Diceros bicornis minor: one gene and its partner. The protein of the gene in region 2 binds, or shares a complex with, the protein of the main gene of each other region. Links are inferred from orthologs where the notes say so. Each region holds a gene or a part of one and is shown on either strand. Other genes may lie near its edges.

Region 1 (3,903 bases), on a different chromosome or scaffold from region 2:
TGTCCTAGGAACCAGAGCCCCAGTCTCATGCAGCTCTGGAGGTCCAGTGCAGAGCCAGGTCTTGGCTGGCACGTGGGCTCACTGAACACCCGCCAGATAAGGCAAGGGCACCACCCAGAGGCCAGACCTACAAGGCCACCAAGGGCCCCTAGACCCTTGCTGCAGGCTGAAGCTCCTCTGGCCAGCTGATCAGCACAGTGCACCAAATGCCAGTCTGATCTCTGCCCAGCTGTACCACCCCGGACCCTCCCACAGTCATGGGGCTGGGGAAGCCGACCTCAGGTCCTCCAGCCGTACTGGCCATGAGGGAGGGAAGGGAAACTCCGGAGGGCCTTCCGTGTAAGAAAGCAGAGGCTCAGAGAGGCTGGGTGCTTGCCCAAGGAGGCCCAGCGGGTCAGCAAGGCTGGGGCCCAGCCCTGTCCCCACGTCCTCCCATGGTGCTCCCCACCGCCCAGGGGACTCACATTTGAGCAGCTGCAGCTGAGTGCCGCCCTTCTTGTGCAGGTAGCCAGCCTTGGCCACACCCCCTGGCATGGTTAGCAAGTTCTGGGCGCCAATTGCCTTCATAGGGACAGGCCAGTGCATCTCCTCGGCCGCCATGAAGCTGCAATAAAAGGGGACATATCTCAGCCAGGTGTGGGGGACAAAAGATAGCTTAGCTGGGGACATGCAGGGGGGACACTGCCAAGATCCTGGAGAGAGCACGAAGGTTCAAAGCAGTAAGAGGTAAGAACCCCTTTTCTGAAGGCCCAGGCTTCCAGGTGGGACCCTAGGGAGAGACCTGGTCCACTCGGACACCCCCTGGTCCATTCAGCCACACACCTGAACCCCAGGGATCCTGTGAGCTGTGTTCCTCCATCGACACTGGTTCACTCTGTACACACCTACTGAGCTCAAGGCCCCATGGGGGCTGGGGTACAGCGGCGAATGGACTCAGGAAACCCCTGGCCCAGGTAAGTCAGGCCTTAGGCCATGAGGTCCCCAAGTCCGAGGGCCAAGTGAGCCTATAATGGGGCCTGCCCTAGACAGGAAGTCAGGGAGGGCTTTCAGGAGAAGGTGACTGGGGTCACAAACTGAAGGAAGGAGTTAAAGAGGTACAGGGTCTAGGGCAGGCCCTGGGCACCCTCTCCACCAGCTCTGACTCTCAGCAGGGAGAGAGTGAGGGGCACGGCCCCTAAATGCCCCACAATCCACTCCTGCCCACCCTTAGCTGGCTTCTGTCTATCCCTTTCTTAAGGCTCTGAGACCAGGAAGCAGGACAGCAGCTGGCCAAGAGCCTCCAGTTCCCAGGTCAGACAACCTAGATTCTGGTCCTGGCTTGGCTTTCTGGGGGATCCCTGGGCCTCAGTTGCTGCAGCTGTAAAATGGGAGGACAGAGCAGATGCGGCCTGGCATGCAGCACACCCTAGTCAGCAATGGCCATGAGGACCATTTGGTGGGTTGGCTGATGCAACACTCCTCAGGGACCACATAGTACTTGGTCACCAGGGACAGGCTGACTGTCTTAGGGCTAACCCAGCCCCACAGGACCCAACACGTCAGGCCCTGGGGGGTCAGGCCCTGCCCCTCCCCCACCCTCTTACTCATGCTCCAGCTGCTCTCCCTGAAACCTGCCAGGCTGTTTCACACTTCTGGCCTCTGCCTGGAATGATCATTACCTCTCTTCACATGGAGAACTCCTACTCGTCCTTCAAGACCCAAATTCAGTGTTCTCTTCCGTGAGGCACCTCAATGCCCAGTCACATTCCGGGTCTCCTCCACCCCTGGTCCCTCCGAACAGCACCCAACCTTGCACTGTTTTGTCTGTGCCTGCCCCCACCCCACCCCGGTCCTGGTTCCTCCTGGGGTCCCAGTGGAGTTGGAGGAGAAGGGGTGTGGTCAGCGTCACCCTTAAGCCGGTGGTGGAGCAGTTAGGGTCAGACCCAGAGACCCAGTCCTGCTGGGACTCCTGCCACTACAGGCCCCATCCCCAAAACACACACACAAAGAGAACCTCTTTGCTCTTAGCGAACCAGCATCCTCCATCAAATGCTCACCGTCTCTAGGGGCCTGGGCTGCCCCTTTGCCACCGCCTCTGCCTAGGTCACCGGGCTGCCCGCTCCGGCTCCATCTGCACACAAAGCCGACCCCTCGGGCCTGGGCCCCCACCAACAGCGGAGGCTCGGAACAAAGGCGCGGCCACCCCTACCCCCGCCCCCCGCGCCTGCCGCCCGGACGGAGCCCCGCGGCGGGGAGAAGGGTACCGGCGCTCACGCCCACCCAGGGGGAGGTGCTGGCAGAGGCACGGCCCGCGTCCCGCCTGGGGCCCCCAGACCCGCCCGGCCGCCGGCCCACGCCCGCTTTTGTTCTCGCAGGAAGCGCGGGCTCGGGGTCCGGGGGCTCAGGTCGGGTCCGCGCTCAGTACTCACGGCGTCCACGCGGCGGGCAGGGCCGGCTTCCGGGGGGCGGCCCCCGCCCGCCTCTCCTGCGCGCACCGACACGGCCCCGGGCCGGGCCCCCCGGCCGCCGCCTCGTCCCCGGCGCCCGCCTCCCGCCGGCCCCGGCTCCGCGGCCGCAGCCCCGCGCCCGCCATGCCGCGCGCCCCCGGCCCGGGCCCAGGCGGCGCCGGCTCCTCCCCTCGCGGGCGGGCGCGGGGGCGGGCAGGTGGGGAGCTCCGCCGGCCCCGCGCCTCCGCCCGTCACCCCGCGTCCGCCGCCCCGCAGAGCCTCAGTTTCCCCGTCTGCTGCTCTGAGGATGGGGGGCGCGAAGCGGACGTCTCAAGTGCAGCCGAGAATCAAGAAGCCACCGATGCAAGCGAGGCATCCCGCTTCACAGCCCCAACGCTGCGAGTGTCCCCGCGCGGCTGGAAGGCCCCAGACCCAGGTCCCAATCCCAGCCGGCTCCTGGATGGCGAGCGCCCTTGAGAAAGTGGCTTCTCCTCCCTGAGCCTCAGTCTGCGCCTCTGTAACTGGGGGTGATGGCCGCCCTGCCTTCCAGGGCTGTGCGGGGTTTGTTCTGAAGCAGGTCCGGCTGGCCGAGAGCCCCCACCACGCTGGCATGCACTCAGGCTCACGGACAGGTCTGCGGTTCCTCGAGCCCCCTACTGGGCAGGCTGCTTGCCCTATCTGACTCGATGGGCCTCCACCCCTCGATTCCCTTCAGGGGTCAGGGGTCTGGTCTTTGGCAGCCCTTCTTGGACATATGTGAGTTTCTCTCCTAGGAGACCCCCAGGCTGGCCAACGGCTGGTGAAGGCCCTTGCTGGCCTCTCAAACATTCTGCCTCCTCCACCTCCCACTTGCATACAGGCTGCCACTGAGATGGGCCACCTACAGCAGAGGGTAGCTCTAACAGCTTGGGCCCTGCTCCCACCTGGCTGTCCATACTGGGCGCCCCTCCCTGGTTTCCCAGCCTCCACCTCAGGCAGCCTCTCTGGCCCCTTCCCACTGCAACCAGCCTTCGCCTGTCACTGCAGCCTCCCCGCATAGAGGCTCCTGCCTGCTTCTGTGCCCAGCATCCTTGCCAATCCCTCCCCTGGCAGTGTACCCATCCCCCAGGCCACCTCCCTCTCCTCCCCCAGCCATCCTACCTGGCCACTTCTGGGCAGCCCCCCCACCACTTCCTTTCCTCAATTCCCTCCCCCACCTCCAGTCTCTTCCCTCCATCACCCTCCACTCGGCACACTCTCCAACACACATGCCATTCTCATCACGGCTCTGTTCTGAATCTCCAGGGCCTCCGCATGCCCACCTGGCCCTTCCAGATACAGCCCCCATGGACCTTTCCCACAGGCTCTCCTGCTGCCCTCCACCCCTGTGCACCTGTGCCAGCCAGAACCCATAGCTCCCATTACCCAAATCCACCAAGCACCTGCCTCCAGGCCTTTGTCCACACTGCCTGCAGCTGCAACTGAACTCAGTGAACAC
Region 2 (3,903 bases):
AACATTCCCAAATAAAAACTGCATTTCCTGAAAAACAGGTTAAGAAGTTAAAACAACAAGGAGGGAAATGCTTGTCAGCATGCCAAATGTCAACATGTATCATTTTATGTAAGCATACCTTTCTTTTAACCAGTTTCTTGAGGATAGTGCATGGAAAGTAGGGAATGATCATCAACAGCTACATGGCTACCTTAAGCGTGAGAATCAATTCTGTGCTTTTCTTGGTTCAATGGTAAAAAAAAACACAAAAATTGCAACACATTAAGTTTTTTCTGCGATGCGTAAACCCAGTGTATCCACACCTCAGCCAAGTCAGTATAACGATTTACGTATGGGCCCTTTCGTTAGTCCTGAGCTAATAAACTTAACTATGGAAAGAGAATTAATCAGATGACAGCTGATTATCGTTAATTTAGAATTGGAACAAACTTTCATCGCTTGCCTAATTTCCTTTCAATGATCTTGGGGCAGCTCATCAAAACTTCCCATCAAGTGGAGACAGACTCCTTCATTTCCGAGAAACGCCTTACAAGAAACAACAAAATAAGAGTTGCGGGGGAAGAGAGAGTAAAGAAACCAGAAAAGAAATGCCCCAGGAGAAAGGGATTGTGGAAGGTGAAAAAATAGAAAATTTCCACACTAAAGAATTTCAAAACAATATGTAAGATCGAGGGAAAACTTTCAAGGGCACTTTTCAGTGTAATAACAATAAGGGAATTCAGCTCGGGAAATCCGTGCCTTAAAAAAGGACAATAAGCAGACTCGTTGGACTTCACCAAAACCCACCGCAAACATGGCGCTGGGACGAAGCCCCTACTCCGCCAGCCGCCAAAGCCTTTCGCCTCACTTTTCCCACAAACCCCTCCGCGCGGCCCGGTTCGCTGAAACCTGCCGGGCCGGCCTCCGACCACTGCGCACGCGCGGCACGACGTCACGTGCGCTCCCAGGGCTCCGCGGCGCTGGCAGGAGGGGCCTTGCCAGCTTCCGCCGCCGCGTCGCTTGGGGGCTCGAACGGCGGGTTCGCGGTGCTTACGCTGCCGCGGAGCAGCCGGGGGTCGCAGGGCCGAGCGAGGAGCGCGCGGCGGCGCGGCCATGGGACTGCGCCGAGCCCGGTGACAGGAGGGAGCCGAGCGGCCCGGGCCCTGAGCGCGTCTCCTGCGGGGGGCCTCGCCCTCCTGCTCGCGGGCCCGGGGCTCCTGCTGCCGTTGCTGGCGCTGCTGCTGGCGGCGGCGGCGGCCAGGATCATGTCGGGCCGCCGCTGCGCCGGCGGGGGCGCGGCCTGCACGGGCGCGGCGGCCGAGGCCGTGGAGCCGGCCGCCCGCGAGCTGTTCGAGGCTTGCCGCAACGGGGACGTGGAGCGAGTCAAGAGGCTGGTGACGCCCGAGAAGGTGAACAGCCGCGACACGGCGGGCAGGAAGTCCACCCCGCTCCACTTCGCCGCAGGTAACCCGGGCCAGCGCCGCCTCGCCCCAGACCCCACCTGCGCACCCGCGCTCGCAGGCCCGCAACCAGACACAGTGCTGCTCTGCCCCCGGCGCTCCCCCAGGACTGCGGTCGTGGTCCTCTCCCCCTCGTCGAGTGAGGACTGAAGACGTTGGGCTAGGGGGCCAGCGTGCCGCACTCACTGGAAGTTTTTTTTTTTTGCTTTGTTTTGTATCAACAATACCTGTACCAACTTCCGGTCTTGCTACTCTAAGAGGCCTCCACGCACAAGAAAGAGTAGGGGACGTAGTAGACCTTGCGATTCGAAAGGCCAGTTATCTCCAAAATCTATCTTCTTGCAAATTCCACTATAACTGTTATCAGTCCTTTGGGTTAAAGTCTTCAAGGCCCTTGTAAAATGCAAGGATGTAATTTAGGAGGAGTAGCTTAATTGGCCATTGACACATTAGCGTTAATGGGTTTATCAGGGTAGTTATTAGCAAGTTTCTGGGGAGACTAGAACTGGAAATAGTCGAGTTTGGGAGAATTGAGATCTGACTTAGGCTAGGAGCGGCCGGGTAGCCTCCGCCACACACACAAGTTGAGGTGGAAAGTAGTGGGATGAGAGGAAAGATGGTGTAGGTACTTGAGCTTGGATCTAGAATTTAAACTGGGACTAACCTCGCCTCGTTCTGGGATTTAGATCGTTTGAATTACTTTCTTTTAATATTTACTAGGTTCACTTTATGATATAAGCATATTACATTCACTTAAAGAATTTAAAAGAGCTAGAGATGAGAGACACTCAGCTTATTTCTATAAAGCATTTATACTTTTCACTTTGAAGAAAGATGCAACTGTCTCTATCCTCAAGTGGGCCATGCATGATTGAAAATGGGAGTAGAGTCTCATGGTTCTGATAATCCTGATTTTTTATTTTGTGCGTTACATAATTGTTTAAAATAATTTTTTGAAAAAGCAGAAGGATAGGTTTTAAAGCTCTCTGTTCTTTTCGAATAGGGATGAGCAGAGGAGCGTTAAGAAAGATTTCCTTATTCACAGACATTGCTTGTACACTTTCTACCAATTGGAGATTTGTTTGCTTTAACCTATCCCTGTTTTAAAATATAAATACTAGTAGGAGGTATGCTTTCTTGATCAATTAGAACTTTGTTGAGTTCCCGTTGAGGAGCCTTTTTAAGGGAGAAGGTTTGGAGGACCGTTGGCAGGAGAGCTAGAAACAGTCTGTGGCAGCAGAAAGGGAAAGGAGAGGAATACTAAAGTCAAATCTCATTTCTTTAGCCATTTAGCCTAAAATTTTTGTGATCAGTGCTGCCTTTGCTCAGCTAATTTGGGTTGTCCTGTTTGACCATGTGGTCACCCTTAAACAACTGATTTGGCAAACTGTCATAACCAACTGATATGCAGTCCAAAGGGTAGTGTTACTTAGATTCTGTTCACTTGATCTGTGGGGTAAAAATAACCAAGGAAGATCTTAGTTGCTACCTTTCAAGAATTCGGTGTATTAGTGAGTTCATATCTGAAAATAGTAATATTTAGGGGTTTAACCTTATGGCATTAGCTTCTTATTGACATTATTCCTCCCCCACCGTCCCATCCTCCCTTCTGTCCCAACATTTCAGAGTACTTTTTACATAGATTTCATGTGGTTTGTTCAGACTGAAATGGAAAACCTAATTTTAGGATCCAACCCACCCCTCACAATTTACCCAAATTATCAGGTACAGGTTATCAGATTAAGAATTTAAGGTATAAGAAAAGAGTAATAAAATGAAAATTCTAATGGTCTACATTAAACCAGAGCTTTAAAGCCCTGCATTTAACCCAGGCATATAAGAAACTTTTTTAAAAATTAGCTTTGTAAATCCAATCTAAATTATTAATTAGATTAATGAGAGAGAACTGAATTTTTAAATAAATGCATCCAGCTACATTTTCTCTGTATATAGGGAATACCTTTTGTGATCTCTTTTGTAGGTAGTGAGTTATCAATTGTATTAATGTGCATGTAAGCATGCCATGGGAAGCTCAACATAGGTAGTGGGACTATGTAACTGCCTGACCAAGCAGTTTTTTGTGTTTGTACATTATAGAGTAAGCCATAGGGGGAAAAAAATCTTTTTCTTAGCCAGTTAAAGTTTGGAGGTTTTATTGGGGGAGGGGAGGCACGTTTTTGTCTTTTTTTTTTTTTTTGATTTCCAGGGAACAGGAATAAGATTTGTGCAGAGGAAGGAATATGAATCAATGATAGAAGAACAGTTTAGTCTTTTCATCTAAAATATTTAGTTCAGTTAAGAGAATAATCAGTTGCCAGCCCCAGAGGAGTTAAGTTCTTTTGTTAATGAAAAAAATAATCAACATAAATAGGAACTTTTCTTCTAATAGGTGCTTTTTATTAGTGAACTGGATTACATTTCTTCTAGATAAGTGTGCTTTAAGAAATCATTTCTGGGCCGGCCC

Evidence for each region.
Region 1: the proteins of TNKS2 (region 2) and SH3BP2 are in contact, whole or in part, in a crystal structure (PDB 3TWR), measured with the Homo sapiens proteins. The link is inferred for Diceros bicornis minor from reciprocal best matches to the Homo sapiens genes TNKS2 and SH3BP2. Residues at the interface, in NP_079511.1 of Homo sapiens: Arg525, Ser527, His531, Phe532, Gly535, Tyr536, Asn537, Arg538, Leu560, Asn565, Ser568, Tyr569, His571, Asp589, Trp591, Phe593, Glu598, Lys604; in NP_001116153.1 of Homo sapiens: Leu413, Gln414, Arg415, Ser416, Pro417, Pro418, Asp419, Gly420, Gln421, Ser422, Arg424.

What each region holds. Positions count from the first base shown.
Region 1 is NC_080747.1:2,129,618-2,133,520, reverse strand, and holds the start of SH3BP2 (SH3 domain-binding protein 2), read right to left. Parts: upstream 2,573-3,903; coding exon 2,409-2,572; intron 2,111-2,408; exon of another isoform or gene 2,026-2,110; coding exon of another isoform or gene 1,994-2,025; exon of another isoform or gene 823-1,993; intron 605-822; coding exon 465-604; intron 1-464. UniProt on the Homo sapiens protein: Binds differentially to the SH3 domains of certain proteins of signal transduction pathways. Binds to phosphatidylinositols; linking the hemopoietic tyrosine kinase fes to the cytoplasmic membrane in a phosphorylation dependent mechanism.
Region 2 is NC_080745.1:57,704,833-57,708,735, forward strand, and holds the start of TNKS2 (poly [ADP-ribose] polymerase tankyrase-2), read left to right. Parts: upstream 1-979; 5' UTR 980-1,244; coding exon 1,245-1,443; intron 1,444-3,903. UniProt on the Homo sapiens protein: Poly-ADP-ribosyltransferase involved in various processes such as Wnt signaling pathway, telomere length and vesicle trafficking.